Linked DNA regions of Coturnix japonica. The protein of the gene in region 1 interacts with the protein of each later gene in a biochemical or structural test. Links are inferred from orthologs where the notes say so. Each region holds a gene or a part of one and is shown in the gene's direction. Other genes may lie near its edges.

Evidence for each region.
Region 2: the proteins of PRKAR2A (region 1) and RAB32 interact in a test that uses a peptide from one of them, tested with the Homo sapiens proteins (2 studies listed by BioGRID, with this or other methods). The link is inferred for Coturnix japonica from reciprocal best matches to the Homo sapiens genes PRKAR2A and RAB32.
Region 3: the proteins of PRKAR2A (region 1) and AKAP11 form a complex in vitro, tested with the Homo sapiens proteins (2 studies listed by BioGRID, with this or other methods). The link is inferred for Coturnix japonica from reciprocal best matches to the Homo sapiens genes PRKAR2A and AKAP11.
Region 4: the proteins of PRKAR2A (region 1) and PALM2AKAP2 form a complex in vitro, tested with the Homo sapiens proteins (2 studies listed by BioGRID, with this or other methods). The link is inferred for Coturnix japonica from reciprocal best matches to the Homo sapiens genes PRKAR2A and PALM2AKAP2.

The regions. Positions count from the first base shown.
Region 1 is NC_029527.1:9,289,439-9,294,399, forward strand, and holds part of PRKAR2A (cAMP-dependent protein kinase type II-alpha regulatory subunit), read left to right. Parts: intron 1-20; coding exon 21-122; intron 123-1,880; coding exon 1,881-1,955; intron 1,956-3,850; coding exon 3,851-3,916; intron 3,917-4,604; coding exon 4,605-4,743; intron 4,744-4,961. UniProt on the Homo sapiens protein: Regulatory subunit of the cAMP-dependent protein kinases involved in cAMP signaling in cells. Type II regulatory chains mediate membrane association by binding to anchoring proteins, including the MAP2 kinase.
Region 2 is NC_029518.1:42,175,694-42,180,654, forward strand, and holds the end of RAB32 (ras-related protein Rab-32), read left to right. Parts: intron 1-1,057; coding exon 1,058-1,335; intron 1,336-3,013; coding exon 3,014-3,163; 3' UTR 3,164-4,639; downstream 4,640-4,961. UniProt on the Homo sapiens protein: The small GTPases Rab are key regulators of intracellular membrane trafficking, from the formation of transport vesicles to their fusion with membranes.
Region 3 is NC_029516.1:148,921,302-148,926,262, forward strand, and holds part of AKAP11 (A-kinase anchor protein 11), read left to right. Parts: intron 1-2,582; coding exon 2,583-2,699; intron 2,700-4,961. UniProt on the Homo sapiens protein: Binds to type II regulatory subunits of protein kinase A and anchors/targets them.
Region 4 is NC_029547.1:58,459,475-58,464,435, forward strand, and holds part of PALM2AKAP2 (A-kinase anchor protein 2), read left to right. Parts: intron 1-3,061; coding exon 3,062-4,961. UniProt on the Homo sapiens protein: Binds to regulatory subunit (RII) of protein kinase A. May be involved in establishing polarity in signaling systems or in integrating PKA-RII isoforms with downstream effectors to capture, amplify and focus diffuse, trans-cellular signals carried by cAMP.

The DNA.
Region 1 (4,961 bases):
GTTTGTGCTGTTTCTTGCAGGATCGAGTGACATTCAGAAGAATTATATTGAAAAACAATGCAAAGAAGAGGAAGACATATGAGTTATTTATTGAGTCTGTACCCCTTCTCAAGTCCTTGGAGGTAAAGTCTCTCAGAAACATCTGCATCAAATTCTTGTTACCTCCCCAGTTGGTTTATACTGTATCAGAAATCAGTGTCATTTTTTGCTTACAAGTTCTTCAGACCTGCTAAATATCCTATTTGCATTGTTGAAGTTGTCCAACGTGTTTTTCATATCCACTGTTCGCAGTAGGCGATTTTTATCTCAGTTTTTGAGAAGGCTTTAAAACACAAAACAGGTAGAGAGAAAATATAGGGATTAAAGTGAAAACTGGGACTCAGGGCTTTGGTTCTGTTTGTGGGTGTGTTTTTGAAGTAATGATATGGTCTCTGGAATACTTGATTTTCATTATCTGTGAATGATTTTGAAATTTCAAAGATGCTTCCCACTGCAGATCTTAACTCTTCTAAGCTAAGAATAAACTAAAGGAAGCACTGCTGCCCAGGAGGAAAATAACCAGGCAGAGCAAGCACTGTTGTTATGTGTGGTGCATGACTTTAGGAACGATGTGTAAATTGCCACTTCTAAGCCATTGATTTAGCCTGTATTTTCAGAAAGGCTTTGGAGACATGCCAGACTGCATGGAACATTGTTATATATCTTTGCCCTCTGCCAGAACTTATATTTTTCTTTGTTTCCTCGTTACATTTTTTCAGCTTAAATCTTCAGCACTTGAGAATAGTTCTCAATCCTCTTGGGAAAGGATTACAAAATTGCAAAGCATCATAAGTGTAAATAGTGGCTTCCAGGATATATTAGTTTGGACCTATGCTGATAGCTGTAAAAGGGGTGAATTACACAACATCTCCCTCAATGACTGGCTTAAACTAGTTTCATCAGTGTGTGCCTTTTTGTTTTTTTTAAAGCCCAAAATGACTCATAAAAGATTAAAGATTCAAAAAAGAGAAAAATCTCATTAGCACTGGCTGGCTTTTTGCATGACACACTGCAGTTGAATCATGCGTGGATCGTAATTAACAGTTTCTTAAACATGGGCTAGATGGAAGTGCATTTGTGAAATGAATAGATTAAAAATGAATCATGTGTGGAGATATTCATTTGAACTGTTTAGGATTTTCTTTCTTAATATATTTTTACACTGCTGTGAATGATTAGAGTTGTTTTGTGATGTGCAAGATGGGCAGCAGGAAACATTGGAGATAAATTTAACTGTCCTTTCTCCCTTCCTGTTTGTGAGGCACATTTCACTGCACGTCAGTTTAGTACCTCTTGACCTTGCTGCAGGGCATCCTGTTGCAATGCTTGCTTACAATTTTTAGACCCAGTGTCTTTCTCATACCCCCTCATCCTCTTCCTAATCCAGCAGTGAGCTTTAAGACAAAAAACAACCAACCAAAATAAACACACAAAAAACTCCAACCAACCAACCGAAGACATTCAAGTGCACAGCAATGAAAGTATTTTGAAAATGAATTACTAATATTTTTCATTGAGGTTTCTGGGGAAGGACTTGGCATTTCTCTAAACGCTTTCTTCAGATTTCAGCTGAATCTCACAGGAAGTGCTTTTTTTTCTTAGTTCTAAAACAGCCAAATCAGTCATTTTAAACTTTAGGTGTGGGACAATAGAAAACTTTTTTTGCCATTGATCTTTTTGGTAGTCTTGAAAGATGTGCTGCAATATTATGAGGTCATGTGGGGGCTGCATTTTTCAGTAGCCAGATTCAGCGTGTTTTTGTCTAGTGAACACTTCTTAACTTCTGAGTTGTGAGGTTTGCTATGGCAGGTAATTGTGCTTGATTTTCCTCTTCATTGCAGGCATCAGAGCGCATGAAAATTGTGGATGTTATAGGAGAGAAAGTGTATCGGGATGGGGAACGTATCATTTCTCAGGTACTTAGAGTATAAATTCCCATCTGTCATTCTCCCCTCTTTGTTTTTGTTCCTATGTGGAAGCTACTCACAGAATCGTGTTAATTGGATCAAGTTAGCATTATTCTTTTAATGCTTTCAATTTGTTTAACCAGTTTTTGAATATCTGGGGAAGGGCCAGTTGTATTTTGCTACGTATTTATTCCACTGCTTTAGCTTCTGGGTAATTCCTTATTTTGACCATTTGTTTTCTATAAACGGTCTTTGCAAGGCTTCAAAAGGACTGACCCTGAAGAAGCTGAAATTAAATGTCTGTCATTACAATTTTCAATGAAAGCCCTGAGGTGCAGTTTTTATAGGCACCTGTAACCAGATTAAAAGGGGAGTCCCAAGCCACATCCATAGGCCTGACTAAACAGGAAAGTCGAGCAATTCAACAGGAGTATGTCTTGCATAGAGCTAAGCAAGCTCTATAGGTCTGCTTTACTAGTTGATCTCAAGTCAGTTAACTGTATGAAGAATTCTCACTTTAATTAAAAAAGGTGATTTTCCAGATGCCTTTTAAAAAGAGTATTTTAGTGTTAGGAATAGTCAGAGTTCAGTCAGCAGGCTTTGGTTGTTGATACACTTTGCTGTAATGGATTGAGACCAGATTGAAACATAAAGCTGGACAAATTAAAGCTGAACCTTTTTTTTCCTGTGACAGAACTCACTTTTTTGGAGTATTTTTACAGGTGAAACACAAGAATTCTGCATCAGTCTTAGCTTTGTATATTGATTTTGAGAAAGTGCTCTATTTTAAACAGGAGTTAATGCAAGGAAGACCTTGGCTTACCTGAAATGGTAGGCGTTTTGACCACAGGTCTTCCTGTTTTATAAACAGAGTCTGGGTACTTGATACTGTTTTGAATAGTTAATCTTAATTAGCTTGAATATCAGCTACCGCAGTGCAAGAGAACATCCTTTGCTGATAAGAAAATACAGCCAAATCACTTCTCTCCAAAAAGGCTCAATTGTGTAAGCTGAAAATCTTGTTGCTTAAGAGCCTGAGAAAACTGGACTGTCAGCAAAATCAAAGCTGTCTCAGAACTGGGAAGCTGTACAGCCAGTGATCCGGTTACAGGGTTGCTTTAAATCTGCAACAGCTGAATTAAGGATAAGGATGTAATTACACGTAAGGGAAATTACAAATAGGATTAATATTCTGGATTGATCTGGATGATTGTTTTACGCTGCTAGAGATGATGAAATTTTATGCTTGGAAATGATGGTGATAGCTCTTGTACTACAGCAATTGCATCAATAGCATGAATCCTTTTTCTCTCACGGATAATGTTACATTTTAATTATCTTTCTGGAATTTGATCTGTCAATTGGGGCATTGTGATTGAAAGCACTGGCTTTAAATCATACCGCTGGTGCTTTAAGTCATACTGCTGGTGTTACGTGAAGTCCCCGTGTCTCCTAATCAGTTTGTTTTCAGTGTTTAAAAGTCCTGAGTATTCAGTACATTGTTAAGTGTGCTGAGTGCAGCAAATTGCGATAGCTGGCAACAGGAAATGAAAAACTTCATACTGGAATACTTACCACTGTTCTGAAGAACCACAGATAAGAGCCTCATTTCTCCTGTAACTCTGTGGGACTTTTTCTTAGAAACAGATGAATGGAACTAAAATAAGTTTTTACTACAGCAACACATTCCATTACCTTTCTTGAACTTCATTCTAAATGGCTCCTATTTCTGTTTTCTTCCAGTTTCCTGATGTGATTTATTTTTCTTAAGTAGTGTTAGAGCTGTTGTGTAATTTCTCACACTGATGACTTGCACAGTGCCCGGTTCACAATGAATAATACCATTCATACATATTTTTATAGTCAACTAAGAAAAAAACGTATCTTTTGCCTTTTCTTCACAGGGCGATAAAGCAGATTGCTTTTATATTGTAGAATCTGGTGAAGTAAAAATCATGATTAAAAGCAAGGTGAGTTTGAATTGGGTGATTAGATTTTAAATTAATCACTGATTTGATCGGCTAAATCATTGAATGGCTAATTGCAATGTGCAAAAGCCTGACTGGGCTGACTTTAAGACGTTATTTTAATTACTTGGTTGTTGTCACAAATGTGATGTATGTTTTAAATGGCCATACCTGTTCTGAAGTGGTCAGGAGTCAGTTGCCAAAGCTGGAAGGTCTGTTTACTTCTATCTACTCCTCTGCAAACTGACCTGTACTCTCCCTGGCCTTAGGGGTCAAAATGGAACTTTCTTGTGGGGTTGTAGCAAACTACAACTAACAAAAAGCTGGGGTGTGTTATGTCAGTAGCCATTAACATTTGAATAGATTCCTATACAGTCGAAGCAGTTCTTTGGGGAGTGAAGCCTTGTGTATGACAAAACTTTGTGGCTGTGTTAGTCTTGTGTAATAGCAGTTCCCAAGTTTGTAACAATGAATATCTGCCAATCTCAAAATTTGTGGGCCAGCATGCACTTAACCAAACTTACAGTTGAACATGCTGTCAAGGCATTATGCCTTTATAGAGAATGATTTAGGAACTGCTAGTTTGCAAGCTGTAAACCAACGGTCAGTTGCACGTATGCAGTCTATCTGGGATTAACTTGAACCTTGTACAGAACTGATTTGCGAGTAATTAAAATGTACTGTTTTGCAGACTATGATGAGTAAGGAAGCTAACCAAGAAGTAGAGATTGCCCGGTGTCACAGAGGACAGTATTTTGGAGAGCTTGCACTTGTTACCAACAAACCCAGGGCAGCCTCTGCCTATGCTGTTGGAGAGGTCAAATGTTTAGGTAAGCGAATGTTCCCTGTGTGTATCTAGTTACCTGTTTCTGTTCTATTATTGTTTTGTGAACTACCCCTGACTGAGAAACTATTCAAAACGTGGCAGCCTTTTGGCACCAAATGGTCAGATGCTGGAAGCTAAGAGAACAGCTTGAAGTGGATGACCGTGCTGAAATTTGAGAAGCACCACTGCTTTTCTGCTCAGGCCTCTAGATTCAGATGAGTG
Region 2 (4,961 bases), on another chromosome or scaffold:
TGTAAACTTGAATGCTTGGGGGGGGGGGGGGGGATGGGATGGGAAATGGCAATGATGTTCCAAGTTAAAATCCTTAGTATTCTAGAACATATAAAATACATGCAAACAGCTGAAGTGAAAATGTAGTGTGAAACTAAAATATAGTGCTGGAAACATTTCTGCCAGTGGTGCTACTTCTGAACAGAGTGGAAAACCATTTTAGTAGGCCAAATTTAAAGTGACATGTGCATACCTAATACTTGCCACTGTTGGGCTCACTTAAGTATAGTGTGACAGTCTGACCTTCCCAATGGTGAACCTGGCACTTATTCTACTTCTTGAATATACTGACAACAAGAACAACATTCTACTTAAAAAAAAAAAAAAAAAAAGCCTTTATTCTTCTGATGATTAATTTTTTTCTGAGTTTTTATTATGAACAATTGTACTTCACCTATTCTGTTCACCTTGTACCAAATCCTGGGGCATCAATGGAACTCCTGTAGTTAGAAACTATTATGGAGAGGTCTGACTTTAAAATAATTAAAAAAAAAAAAAAAAGCTTATGAAAAACTATTAAACTAGTTCCTTTCAAGCTGTCCCTAAGGGAAAATATCTTCAAAAGATGAGTCCTTCAGAGCATTCATTGAAAGTTGTTTGTGTTGGTGCTTGCAGAAAGCCTTATCTGCCCTCCAGGAAAATCTTGTGTTCCCAAAAATCTTGTGTTCCCAAATACGTACTTGAAGTGGCAGGCTGACATTCTAAATCACACAAAAGCTTCTTTTGTGAGACAAGTAACTTATGTCTAGTTGTCCTGGTAATGTTTTAGGCATTACTTCTCATAGGGCACTACTAAAAACTATGTTTTAAAGCTTATTTGTCAGTAGAATGTGATTGCAGCTTGTCACATATGGGAGTATATAACAGCTGTTGTAATGACCTTACGTAGGATGGAAGAGACAATGTATAAACTGTTAAAAGACCTAGAGGCTGAACTTTTATGTACTAACCTGATAGTCTTCAGCGTAAACTCTGGTGAACACAGGTACATAAAAATTGTCACATCTTTCCTTTTCAGGCCAGGAGCGTTTTGGAAATATGACAAGAGTGTACTACAAAGAAGCAGTTGGTGCTTTTGTGGTCTTTGATGTCACAAGAGGTTCCACGTTTGAGGCTGTTTCAAAGTGGAAACATGATTTGGACAGTAAAGTACTTCTTCCCAATGGCAGCCCCATCCCTGCTGTTCTTCTTGCAAACAAGTGTGACCAAAAGAAAGATGGCAGCCAGAATCTTTCTCAAATGGACCAGTTCTGCAGAGAAGGTGGCTTTATTGGATGGTTTGAAACATCTGCCAAGGTAAGAATTAAGTAGGTGTTTAAGTGTGCTTTCTATTCACAACAGCAGATATAGTCATATGGGGAAAGAAATTTATCAGATGCAGGAAGTGACAGTTTGGATTCCAGTGTTCAGTGAGAAATAGAAGTGGTGTGCAGGATAGTTCATTGCTAAGGAAGGCTTACAGCATATTTAGTTGGAACTGCATCTCACATTCAGACAACACTGAAGTGGAAACATTAACTGAATTCAATGTGTTTTTTTTTTTTGATCTTGTGTGCATCAAGATCAGTGCTGTTCTTTAGATGTCAGTGCTAATAAATACTGATTGAACTGATAAAAGGAAAAACTACTGCATCTTTAAGTGAAAGAATTCCCATTGCAGCTTTTTCTTATCTGGTGCATACAAGAAGTGATGAGACTCCAGATAAAATTATCTGCTTGCTTGCTACTATATACTTAGATGATGCTACTAAACCACTTTCTCCTATATCAAGTAGTGATGAGACTGAACTAGGGAAAATCTAATTGCCCAGTTGTGGAGAAACTGATTTTAAGGGCAGCTGCTTTATTCCAATTAAAGTTTATGTTTGAGTAGATTCAAATGTTGCACAGTTTTAATCAAACTCAAACAGTGTGCATATATGCTTACAGTAGCTTAGTTGGCAGTGAAATCAACAGTTTCTTAACCTAAATGCCTTCATGTTGAAAAATCATCAATCTCAAGCATCAATATGTCTGACAGGGCCAGTTACTGGTCTGGCCAATAATTCCTTTATATTAAGCTAAGCTTCAAGATCCTTCTCTTCCTTTGAGTTCACTACTTCCTTCAGTTGCTGCTGACAAACTGGCATAAAGCATACTTATGCAAGAGCTATTTCTAGCACCTGATGCTTTTTTTTTTTTTTTCCACAAAGATCTGTAAGAGGAATGGCAAGAAATAAATCTCTTCCTGGTCACCATAAAATAAGGAGTAGGGATGCACAGTGACTAAGGTACTAGACTGAAATACAGTTCTAGGTATTCTGCATACACACTTTCACTGTCCCTGGCGGTGTTCAGGAGGCATCTGGATGAGGAGCTATGAGGTATGGTTTAGTGGCTTGTGGTAGTAATGTTAATAGGAGGACAGTTGGACTAGATGATCTTGTAGATCCTTTCCTACCTTGTGAATCTATATTTCTATGATTCTTTGGAATGTAAGTTAAGGTACTTACTTAAGAAAATGGCTGAATGAAGCACCTTGACTTTTCTGGTTTTTTGAGGCTGATACAAAAGACCTCTGTTGATAAATGAGTTTATTGATATTGCAGCAAAAAGAGGAATAGGCTCCAAAAGGCCATGCACTACTAAAACCAGTGTTAATTGCCTCTTATCTTTCTTAACACATAAGTGCAGCTTGGCACTTAAGAGTGGTTCAAACATAGTTTTATGTCCAGACTACACAGTACTTTGGAGTCTAGCTATCCTTTGTGTATGGTGGGTGAATAGCTTCACTAAACTTTTCTGATGATTTATTTTTTTTCCTTTTACAAACAGCAAATTTTTGAGCAATGATGTGTTGTATCTAAGCTGCCTGTGTTCTGCCAGTGGCTGCAGAGTAGTGTGTATTTGGCCAGCTTCTAACAAGGAAGTGTGACTTTTTAAAAGCAAAAATCCAACCAACAACTTGTTAACTTATTTGCATTCCTATTCTTAGGACAACATCAACATAGATGAAGCTGCTCGATTCTTGGTGGAAAACATCCTTGCCAACTACAAAACCTTTCCTAATGAAGAGAATGATGTGGGGAAACCAAAACTGGACCTAGACCCATTGAAAGCAGAGAGTAAATCACAGTGCTGCTAATGCTACCACTGTTCGACAAATGTGATGGAATGAGCAGCAAGACTGTTCCTTAAATCAAACTGCTGCTATGGTGCTGCATTGTGACAATCCATATGGGGTGTCTGGTATTATCTGAACAGGTGATTCTTGTGGGTGTTTACATACTCAGTTTCATGCTAAACAGGAGTATCTTGTGAGTTCTCACTCCTCTTGCTTGAGTGGCTTCATCTAAATCTGGTTAGTTGCTTACTTGAGAACATAAGGTAGTGTTTACACTCCTAAAAAAGAACAAAGACAACATTCAGTGTCTACTTTGCCTTCTAGGATATGCTACATTCCAAATAGGACTCACTCATGTCTTTAGCTGAACAGACACTTGCACCTCTACTGAATATTCTTTTCGTCACCAATAATGCCCTACTTTAGCTTGACTTCTCACCTATATACACTTGTACCTATCTGTCTCCTTGCTAGCTCACTTGGATCAAGATGTTATGTTAATCTTGAAGGGGCCAATATCATCATTGGTGTGTTCACGAGGATCAGGTGGAGTAGACTGCTTTCACCTCTGTGTAAGAACAAGATAGGTAAAGGTAAACGATTGTATTTAATGGAAAGACACTGTTACATGGGTACTAACAAAAATACATCTTCTGCTATTTAAAGAATATTACTTTCAGCTAATACTTTACCTGTGAAACACATTAATCAATACAGTTGCATTTCTGCCATTCTTATAATAATTTCACTTGTATGCACATCTAGAAATATCCAGAAGTCTTTTCATGCACTAACACCAAAAACTTTAGCAAGGCTGGGTAAAATAAATATCTTGCTGTCCTGTGACAATGAACTTCCTACTTTTTCCTTTTTTTTTTTTTTTTTTCTCCTGGAGATGGTTCTGAATACTTTGAATAAGAATAGATGCTTTGGAAGAAATAATTCAACTGGATCTTTGTAGCTTGTCAAAAATCCCCCGCCTCCTTTTTTAATTTTAGAACAGTGCTGCACTCTTCTGACTACTCAGTTTGTGAACTGGCTTGCTTACCAGCTTGTAACTGTTCATGGAGATGCTTGCTTCCTTGTTATAACCCAGGTTTTTCTGGCAGCAAATGAAGATTAAAAGGAATAGAGAACTTCAGTTCTTGGCTATTTTCTTGTAATTTTGGCTCTACTAGGCTGAAATGCTTCAGAGCTCCTTGTAATTTTAAAGGGTTTCTTCTGTCTTGGTACCTCACTGCTATTGGCTTCAGAGTTCTTAACTTGCTTGTCTGGTGGTACTGATGTTTATGTAAATATCAGCATGAAGTATGTGCCAGATTGAATATACTTTAATCTGTATTGAAATTATCTAGGCTGATGTCTTTTCTAAGGAGTAACATATTTTTTAAGAAACGAATAAATATATTTGGGCATCTTATCTTGTTGGTGTGTGCTTTTTGAATGAATCTTTGCATTATGTGTGCCACCCTAAATAAAGTTGGTTTCAAGTATCAATGAAAATATTTATTTCAATAGTTAAAATTTAAAGGCTTCTTTTATATTACCACGGTATGGAATGCTATAAACTAAAACCAGGTTTAGCTAGTTGGTGTTTGAGTTAATTTAGGCTAGATGACATTTTAAGAATCCTTCTGGTCTCCTTCTCAATAGAAGGAATAGAGGAATAGTGAATAGAGGATCATACCAGGCTGTTCAGGTCTTCATGTAGTATTCTGGTCTTAAAGATTCAGTGGCAGACCATATGACCTCCAGGAAAGTTGTTTCAATGCTTGACTGTCTGCATGAGCATTTATCTAGTTTGATTATATCCATGATA
Region 3 (4,961 bases), on another chromosome or scaffold:
TCCAGAGGAGGGACATGAAGATGATCAGGAGGCTGGAGCACCTCCCCTATGAGGACAGGCTGAGGGAGTTGGGCTTGTTCAGCCTGGAGAAGAGAAGGTTGCGGGGTGACCTCATTGCAGCCTTTCAATACCTGAAGGGAACCTACACCCAGGAGGGGAGTAAACTCTTCGAAAGGGCTGACGATACCAGGACATGGGGAAATGGTTTTAAGTTGAAAGAGGGAAGATTTAGGTTGGATGTTAGGGGGAAGTTCTTCACTAGGAGAGTGGTTAGGCCCTGGAACAGGCTGCCCAGGGAGGTTGTGGATGCCCCGTCCTTGGAGGTGTTCAAGACCAGGTTGGACGGGGCCCTGGGCAACCTGATCTAGTAAATGTGTATGTTTGGTGGCCCTGCCAGGCAGGGGGGTTGGAACTACATGATCCTTGAGGTCCCTTCCAACTCGGGTCATTCTGTGATTCTGTGTGCTGATCTTGAAAACTGGCTGCCTTTTGGTTTTCAGTTTAATTCAGTGTGGTTGAATTGCTTTCATTGCCTATTGGATAGGAAGTTTTCTCTCACATTATGTGGGGAAATGAAAACAAAATGGTAAGCCAAAGGTTTAGTCTGCTTTTGTATGAAAGCCTCTGCGTTCAGTGATTATCCTTCATAGTCCTCCTTTCTGTGCTTGTTGCAAGTTAATCTTCTTTTCACATGTGGATGATATGGTATGTGCAATTACAGAGGATGCACTCAGCGACTCCAGTTATGTCAGTTATCCTGCTAAAGGATGGGGCCACGTTTGCTATTTTCAGTGCTGTATCGTGCTGATTGTTTGCTTCACTATCATGATGAAGAAGCAAAGTCACATCTCTTGTTTCCCGGATGCGACTTCACAGTTCTATTTCATTATTAGTTTTTAAGGCTGTAACCTTGCACTTCATATGTTTGCATTTTAAACTGCTCTCACCTTGAGCTTCCTGTATATGCTGCTCTCCTTTTAATCAAGCATTGCAGCCACCTGGTAAGTCTGGATGATCTGGAGGATCAGAAACATTGTTTGCATACCTTGGGAAGTATAAAGATACATATGTAACACAGTAACTGCATTTTAATACGTGGGGAGAAAGTTATAGACAAAGGTAGGGATTATTTGAATGACCTCCAGGCTGCCCTAAATGTACATCAGATTATTTCGGTTACTGGTTCATTCTTGTCTGTAAACATGGCTGTTTTGTCTGCTTCAGTGTTACTTGGCCTTTGCTGTAAATCTAGTAATCCCAACCTTGCTTGCAAACATTCTGAGATTTGTTTTGGTAATTCCAGAGGTCTTAAGTTTTGTTTTTTGTCTTATTATTTTAAAAATGCTTTCCTAATTTTATATTGCTACGAGCACAAGCATGATAACGCTGATAGTACCAGTTAGGCTTCCAATATGTTAGTACTTACTGCCATTGTTTTTAAGAAAAACAGCTCTTTCCAGAGCCTTAATTATGATAAGCAAGATCAGCTTTTACCATAAAGGGATTACTTTTGCTGTGGGACTGTGAGAAATGCAAAGCTTTCCCTCACTAGATTTGGTTTTCTGGTGCTTCCGCTGTTGTTTAAGAAGCTGTGCAGATTTGAAATAGCTTAAGTTTGATACATTTCTCACCTAACTTTTTACAGGGTAGTCAGATGGAGAATAAATAACTGGGTTAACAATGCGTAACCAAATCATAATTTCATTTATACTTCTTAACCTTTTCACTCGGTAGAGGACAGCAATTTTAAAAACCAAAAGGAGAAGATGTTACAAGAAATAATTACAAGGAATTAAATTTTTTAATTTTTATTTTATTATTTTTTTTATAGAATGGATAAAGAAGATATGTAGAGGGTTGTTTGTTTGATTATTTTTTTATTTATTTTTTCACCTTGATTTGTTTTCTTTCCCTATGACTGTTGAAGCCACCTCAATAACATTTCATGGCTAAATTAGCTTTTCTTGCTTTTTAAGGAAAACCTGATGGAAAAGTTCCATATGCAGGCTCTGATGCATAGAGTGGGTGGGCCTTTAAATTTCTTCTTGGATTCATCTTTCTTTTTTTCCCAAATCTGAACTTTCTTAGATCTTAGGATCTTTTAGGAGGAAGTTTTTCACTCAGAGGTGGTGACACACTGGAACAGGTTGCCCAAGGAGGCTGTGGATGCCCCATCCCTGGAAGAGGCATTCAAGGCCAGGCTGGATGTGGCTCTGGGCAACCTGGTCTGGTGGTTGGTGACCCTGAACATAGCAGGAGGGTTGAAACCAAATGATCATTGTGGTTCTTTTCAAACCAAATGATCATTGTGGTTCTTTTCAATCCAGGCCATTCTGTGATTCTACGGTCTTTTTTTTCTTAAGTACAGCATGGTCAGCTTGCTTTGGAAAAAAAAATTATTTCTTGAAGGAAATAGCTTATGTGTTTACTTCAGAACACAGAATTTAGTCTTTAAACTTGGTGATTGATATGCAGATTTGTTTGAAACTGTACTTAGAATAAGGAAATCAAGGAGGGGGCTTAGAATAGGCTCTTTATTCAAAACTGAAAATAACTTTTTGTCTTTTCCCATTGTTTTTCAGAGCTTTGGTGAAGGCGTACTGCACTCTATGAAGTCACTGCTGCACAGCAGGAAAGAGTTATGCAGTGTATCAGCAGAAGAATGTTTAAGTCAGGAAGAACAAGATAATTTTATTGAGGTTTGGCATAACCTGACTTTTTTGTATATGTTTTTTGGCTATGATGCAAGATGATTTAGCTTGTAGCAGGCAGGATAGTAAATGTGAACACTGTTGCAACGTACTGACAGTTAATTCATTGCCCTGTGTTGCCATTCTTGCATTTAGCCTTTGAAGTCCTGAAAAAAAACCATAACAGTTCAAGATGAGGTTTCTCTGCTTAGTTTAATTGTGAAACTAAATAACAAGATGTGTAGATAAATGATTTTGTAGGAATTGCGTAATTGGATGCTCAGCATTTGTGTGCACTCCTCTGTTCAAGTTGTATGGATAGTACCTTGACTAGCAGAACATTTTGGTCTTAAGTCTGAAGATGAAAGCTAATAGACTGCTTGTATTTCCTTGTGCTCAGCACTAAAAGGTAAAGCTCCAGCATTGCAGATCAGGGCTTCTATGACATGAATACATATGGGCCAAAAGCTGAACAAAATCTGCTGAGGGAAAAAGAAAGGTAGACCCAGAAAGAATTCAGGGGTATCTTGGGCAATCTTGAACTGTGAAGATGACTAGATCTGTTTGATCAGCCTAACCACCAACAATTTAAATGTCTGCACTAGTTTCAAGTCTTAAAGGTATTTTATTTTTGTGAAAACTGGAGACTGTGAAATCTAGATGTTGTAATTGAGACTGAAATGAGTAGCCTCATCAGTTTCTTTGATGGCAAAATATTATTTGGGAGAGGTAAAGGTTGGTAATCATTAATTTGAGGAAGAGGAAAGGACCTGTAGGAAGAGCATACACCCACTAAAAACACATCCTAACATCAACATATCCTAAAGCCTCCCAAAACATTCTTCAAAGAAATGTTTTTCCTCCAAGTCTTTAAACTGTTAGGCCTCTTCTCTTCATACAGTAGGTGTTGTGCAGATGAGGTGTTGGAATTGAAAGGTATCTCCAGATACTGTATGCATAAAAGATGTAGGAGCTTAAGGATATGTCACTGAAAAAGGATCACTTAATAGAACAGTGAACATGATGCTGGAGAACTGTGATTTGCTAAGAGCCATTTAGAATGCTACTGCAAAAATTTTGTTTAATTTAGGATTTTGTTGTTATTGAAATAAAGATCATGGATGCAAACAAGAAAACATTTTGTGGAAGCCAAAGTAGTTGTGTGGTACCACCTGAAAGAAGTCAGAATTTTTAATATTTTAGCAAGATTTCAGTTTGAAAGGTTTTTTGTTTGCATGCGTGGAAGAAAAAAATGTGCTTATTCAAAACTCAGGTACAGTACAAAACAATTGTTTTTCAGCCATTTGTTTTTATAGCTCCTTCCTAGTTTCTCTGTATGCACGGGTGAGCTGCTGATCCAGTTAGTAAGTGAATATAAACACAGAGGTGTTCTTTGCTGGTTTTAGGCATGAGAAGCATCTCACTAGCACAGCCTTACTGTGAACTGTAACCCGAATACTTAAAAAACACTCACTCAGTTGCATAGTGCTCTGAAATAATTGAATCCCAGACATATCAACTTTAACTCCAAACATAGAATTGTAGGATCTGTGGAGTTGGAAGGGACCTTTAAAGGTCATCTTGGCCAGCTCCCCTGCAGTGAACAGGGAAACTTACAGCTAGATCAAAAGCTCAGACCTCATCCAGCCTTGACCTCGAGTGTCTCCAGGGATGGGGTATCAACCACATTTCTGGGCAGCCAGTTCATTGACTGCACCCCACAGGCTGGTGTCATCAGCAAACTTTGCTGAGGGTGCACTCAACCCCACTGTCACTGTCACTGATCAAGATTAAAGAGTGACAGTCGAAGCACTGACTCTTGTGGGACACTACTCAGCTCTGATCTCAATCCAGGCATTGAGCCGTTGACCACCACTCTCTGGACTTGATCCTGCATCCACTTCTTTGTCCATTGGACAATCCACACATCAAATCCATATCTTTCCAATTTGCAGAGAGGGATGTTGTGGGGTACTGTGTCAGAGGCCTTACTGAAGTCTGAACAGGTGACATTGGTGGCACTTCCCTTGCCTATTGATGCAATAGCACCATCGTGAAAGGCCATTAGTTTGGTCAAGCAGAATTACACTTGGTGAAGCCATGCTGGTTCTCCTATATCACCTCCCTGTCTTCCATATGCCTTAGCATAGCTTCCAGAAGGATCTGCTCCATGATCTTTCCTGGCACAGAGGTGAGACTGACAGGTTGGTAGTTCCTGGGGTCATCCTTTTTACCCTTCTTAAAAATGGGTGTGATGCTGCCTTTTTCTAC
Region 4 (4,961 bases), on another chromosome or scaffold:
AGATCTGAATGCTCAAACACTTAGACTTTTGTAGATGAAGAATTCAGCCAAGCAGGAAGTATGCTAATAATTCTCCAGGCTGCTAATAACTTCAGTTTACTAAAGTGCAGCAGTGTTGTACAAATGGCAATAATTACACTTGCATCTTGACTTAACAGAGAGAAATTAATACATATTCAGAGAGGGTTTAAATGTAACAGTAATTTCTGGAAAATGCAGTATACGGGAATTGCTGTTAAGGCAGAGTTGCTGGTTGCAGCAAGGACTGAATGCTGGCCATCCCTCATTTACAGACTTTTATTAATAGTTTTCAGACAGCTGCCCTCAGTGGGCAGTGTGTTAAGGTGCTGGTGTGTGCAGCAGCAGCCCCTGGCAAGCTCTGCCCTTCCTGCCAAGCAGCCCAGATGAGGCTGTAGTTTCCCAGTCTTTTCCCATCACCACGTCTTCATCCTAATGTGTGCCATTCTTCCAGAACATTCCCAGCTGGTTTTCCTGACAGTTTGATCTGCGTCCATTCATATGACCTTACTAGCTTCTTCTTCATATAATTCATTCATGGGTTGACTTCTGCTTCTTACAGGGGTGTCTGGAGCATTCCCTCCTTGTTTTCCTGAAAGTGTCCCAAGATTATATAAGAATGTGCTGAGGGGAAAACAAGGAGTTGTAATAAATATTTTTTCTCTCCTCCATTCCCTGGTTTACTCCCCTGCAGAGAACCCTTCCCTACTCACAGTTATTAGTCCTTGGCAAAGAAAGGCCTCTTCCCATGAGGAGCAATGTTTCCTCATAAGATTTACTGCATAATTGTCTTGCTTACTAGATAATTACATGTGCCACTCTAATTGCACAGACACACGCACTCTCAGAATTACATGCTGCCATAAATGCGTGTCCTGATTAGGCAGTTGCGTCTATATGCCTTAATTGTGAACTGAAGATTGCAGCTATGATGAGGGGATGAGCTATTACTCATTAAGAAATCAACTGATGAAGTAGTTCATCTTTGGTTTGGTTCCCTCAAGGCAACTTGAATATCGAAACATGACCTGATCTGAAGGGTTCTATATATGTTGGCTCAGCAAGGGCAGTAGGCATGTGTTAGCTATGAAGTCTTGGGGGCAACAGCAGGTCTGTTGCTAGTTCCAGATGTTAGCAGAAGCTTGACAGCATGCTCATCTCAGCTGTGAAGGGCCAGCAGCCCCACACAGAGGCTTAAGGCCTCTCCTCTCAATCTGCTTCAGGTAGCAATATCCTCTTTTTGGTGTCAGCTAATCTGACAGGAGACTTTAACCCAAAACTCAGAAAGAAACTGCAGTTCTAGGCCTGTTGTGAGTACCTGTTGTATATGAAACTTGGAGCTCTGCAGACAAATCAGAGTAATTTTTGCTTTTCCAGGTTTAAACAAAGTTTTGTTCTTACTGATTATTCTGAACTTGTTTGTAGAATACCAGCTTGCTTGAATATATCTTTACTCAGGCTGAAAACAAAGCTGACCACAGTTAGACATGTAAATTGTGAAAAATGTAGTAGGCTTAAAGAAGAGCACTGATAGAAAATAAAGCTTGAGAATATGTAGAGTATGCCTGTAGGTTCAACAGAAGGTACAATGAAAGTAAAACCAACTACATAAGAAAGATGTGTAGACAAAAGAGAATTGTTTGTTTCCCAGTTCTTAAGGTGTTTTGTGGCATCTAAGAATGATTGAGAATCTCTAATGGATGAAGGTAGCATTACCTAGCATTACCTTCAGCTCTGCACAATGGCATGATTAGACAGGAAACTCTTTTAAAATGCTTTTAGAAGGAGAGCTCTTCTGCCTGGATCAAATTCTTCAATGTGTGTCAAATGCATTTTTCTGCCCATGTAAACCCAGAGGCAATGTGATTGTTCAGGTGGCTGGTAAGATCCTTGTGCTCTTGGCTGGTCATTTTCTGCTGCATTGTGTACTAACCAAGTGCATGATGAATGCTGGCAAGGAAGGCTGCGGCCCGCATACAAGAGTGACCTTTCTGGGGAGATACTGTATTTGGAGGATTTGGTTAGTGCTGTTTGCTTCCCAAATCCATGCTTCACCAGTAGTGCTGCATAAGAGTTTGTGTTAAAAAGGAGCCGGAGACCTCAGAATGCAAGTTTCTGTGTTAAAGAGTTTGATGGCACGAATAGGCATGCCGTGTTTGGTTATTTTGAGATTGTGTTGTGTTCTGAGAAAATTACCAAGTTATTGTGGAAGAATGGTACTGGCAATGTCTTCATCATGAGGAAATATGAGTCCAGTGTGTCTGTGTTTTGGATGAAAGAGTGAGAGGGAGAAGACCATGATTCTGGTCCCTGTTGTGCCTCCTGTGATGATCTCATGAATGCTGCTGTGGGAGTCATGAATGCTTCTGTCCTCCCAAGTCCAGTTGCACGTGGGTTTCTGTGTGGGCCAGAGAAAGACCCCATGTTTTTTCCAGCACTGTGTTATTCTACCCTGTGTTTGATGGCTGAGATTGACCCACTGAGAAATGAGCATCCCCTGGTAATGTCTCACCCTTTCCCTAATGTGGGATGAGTTGCCTGATCTTTCTGCATGTTAGCGTCTGTTTCTGCAAGATAGAGGCAGTAAAGCTTATCAGCTGTGGAAGGATTCTGAGGTTTTCTTTAGGTTAGGTGTGGAAGACATTTGTAAAATACCATATTGATAGGTGCGGCGTGCTGCTCGTGCAAGCCTTTCAGGAACCTAAACTGTTAAGTCATTTGTAACTTGAAAATCCAAACCTCGTTTTTAGTGGCAGACCAGGACACAGGCCTGGAATAATGACAAAGTGAGGTTGATAACCAGTTGGGGGATATTTCAATGAAAGTTTGTTGTTGTTTTAGTGCCCTGTCCACTTCAGACTGAGTTAACCTTCTGTTTTTTGTAAGTAATAATTATTTACCTCACCTTCTAATTTTGTGAAGAACACTTTTAATCTCGAGTTTAGAAAGTTCTATGATTTGCTTTCCAGATGGTGTTTAGTGTGCAGAAAATACAATGCTTCTCTTCAGGACTTCATCAAAGTTTTGTTCTGTTTTATTTTAGAAATCTTCCAGAATTCCTGAGGATGACATCAGGTTAAAAAAAAATAGAGACCAAAACTGTGCCAATTTCTTGGAGCCGGCTACTGCGCTTTCTGCAAAGGAAGAAAAAATGGAAATCGAAGTTCCTGTTTCTGAACATAAAAGCATCACCACAGTGGCTTCACCACATCCCATAGACAATCCAACTCACTTCTTTTCTTCTGCTGCCAGCCACAATGGACTTAAGGACAGGCATGAATCCCTGGACAGTGAAGTTGCTAAGGAGATCAGATATCTCGATGAAGTGCTGGAGGCAAACTGCTGTGATTCATCTGCTGATAATACCTTTAATGGGACATCCTCTCCTCAGTTAAGTGCAGTCACCATCATGGATGGCTCAGGGGTGTCGGTTAACGTCTCTAATGATTCAGTACCCAGTGCAAGGGAAGAAAATGTAAATGACAGGCAGGTGCCCTTGGTTGTTAAACCGCATGAAGCTAGTACAGCAGGTGAAAGCCTGAACTCCAATGGCCATTCCTTGAGAGGACTGAAGGAAGACACTGGGGAAAGTCTGAAGGTGCCAGGAAGTCCCACTTCTTCAAACAGTTCCAGAAGATCTTCTAAGGATGGAGAAACAACTCTTACAACACTTAAGAAAGAGGCTAAGTTTGAACTGCGAGCTTTCCATGAGGACAAAAAGCCCTCTAAGCTCTTTGAAGAAGACGATGAGAAAGAAAAGTACAGGGTCCGCAAAGTGAGACCATCAGAGGAAATGATAGAACTTGAAAAGGAAAGAAGGGAGCTCATTAAAAGCCAGGCTGTCAAGAAAAACCCTAACATTGCCGCCAAATGGTGGAACCCTCCCCAGGAGAAGACCCTGGAGGAACAACTGGATGAAGAGCATCTGGAATCTCACAAGAAGTACAAGGAGCGCAAGGAGAGACTGCAGCAGCAAAATGCAACACCAACATCTCCCAAACAGGTCAGCTGCTCCTTTGTACCACCAGAGACAGTGAATATCAAGAAAGAAGATATTGTCACAGAGCAAATTGATTTCTCAGCTGCCAGGAAGCAGTTTCAACTGATGGAGCATTCAGGTCCATCTCAAGGTCAGGTCCCACCAAGGCGGTCAGGAACACCCAAAATGTTCTCTGTTAAACCATTCTATAAAAGCCTCAATCCTTCAAATGCAGACAGGCCTCTCTCCACCATTACAAGACCTGTTTCAATGTATGGACAAACAGGTCAACATGAGGGTAATGACATCACTGTTGTGAAAGCACAGAAAGTCTCCTGTTCTTCAGAGGATGATACAAATGCTCAGAACAACAGTGCTGACCCAGTAAGAGAGTTACCATGTAGTGATAGCTCCAGAGCTGGACAGGCCTCAAAGCTGTGGTCAGAGGATGGAGAATTCATGAGTGCAAGAGCTGTCTTCACAGTGGTGAAGGATGATGTACAGGGTGTGCTAGACCAGCTCCCAAAGTCAGCCAGCGCCTCCTCCCCTCCTGAGGAGCTTGACTCTGGTTTGGATGACTTGTCTGTAAGGTCTCAGGATACCACTGTCTTGGAGACCCTTTCCAATGACTTCAGCATGGATAACATCAGTGACAGTGGCGCCTCTAATGAAACTATGAGTGCCCTGCAAGAGAGCTCATTGGCAGATTTCTCCCTGCCACAGACCCCGCAGACGGATACTCCAGCAGAGTGCAGGAGCGAAGGCATGTCCAAATCATTCAGCGACCCAGGCTGTGACTCACTGTCCTCTGCCTTGGCAGACTCTATGCTGATTGACAACCAACTGGAGTACCATGCTGGTCTGCTTGTTCAGAATGCCATCCAACAAGCCATAGCCGAACAGGCAGATAAAACAAATGGCAAGGAAGAGAAAATCCCATCAGAACAGGAAATCTCTGCCAAAG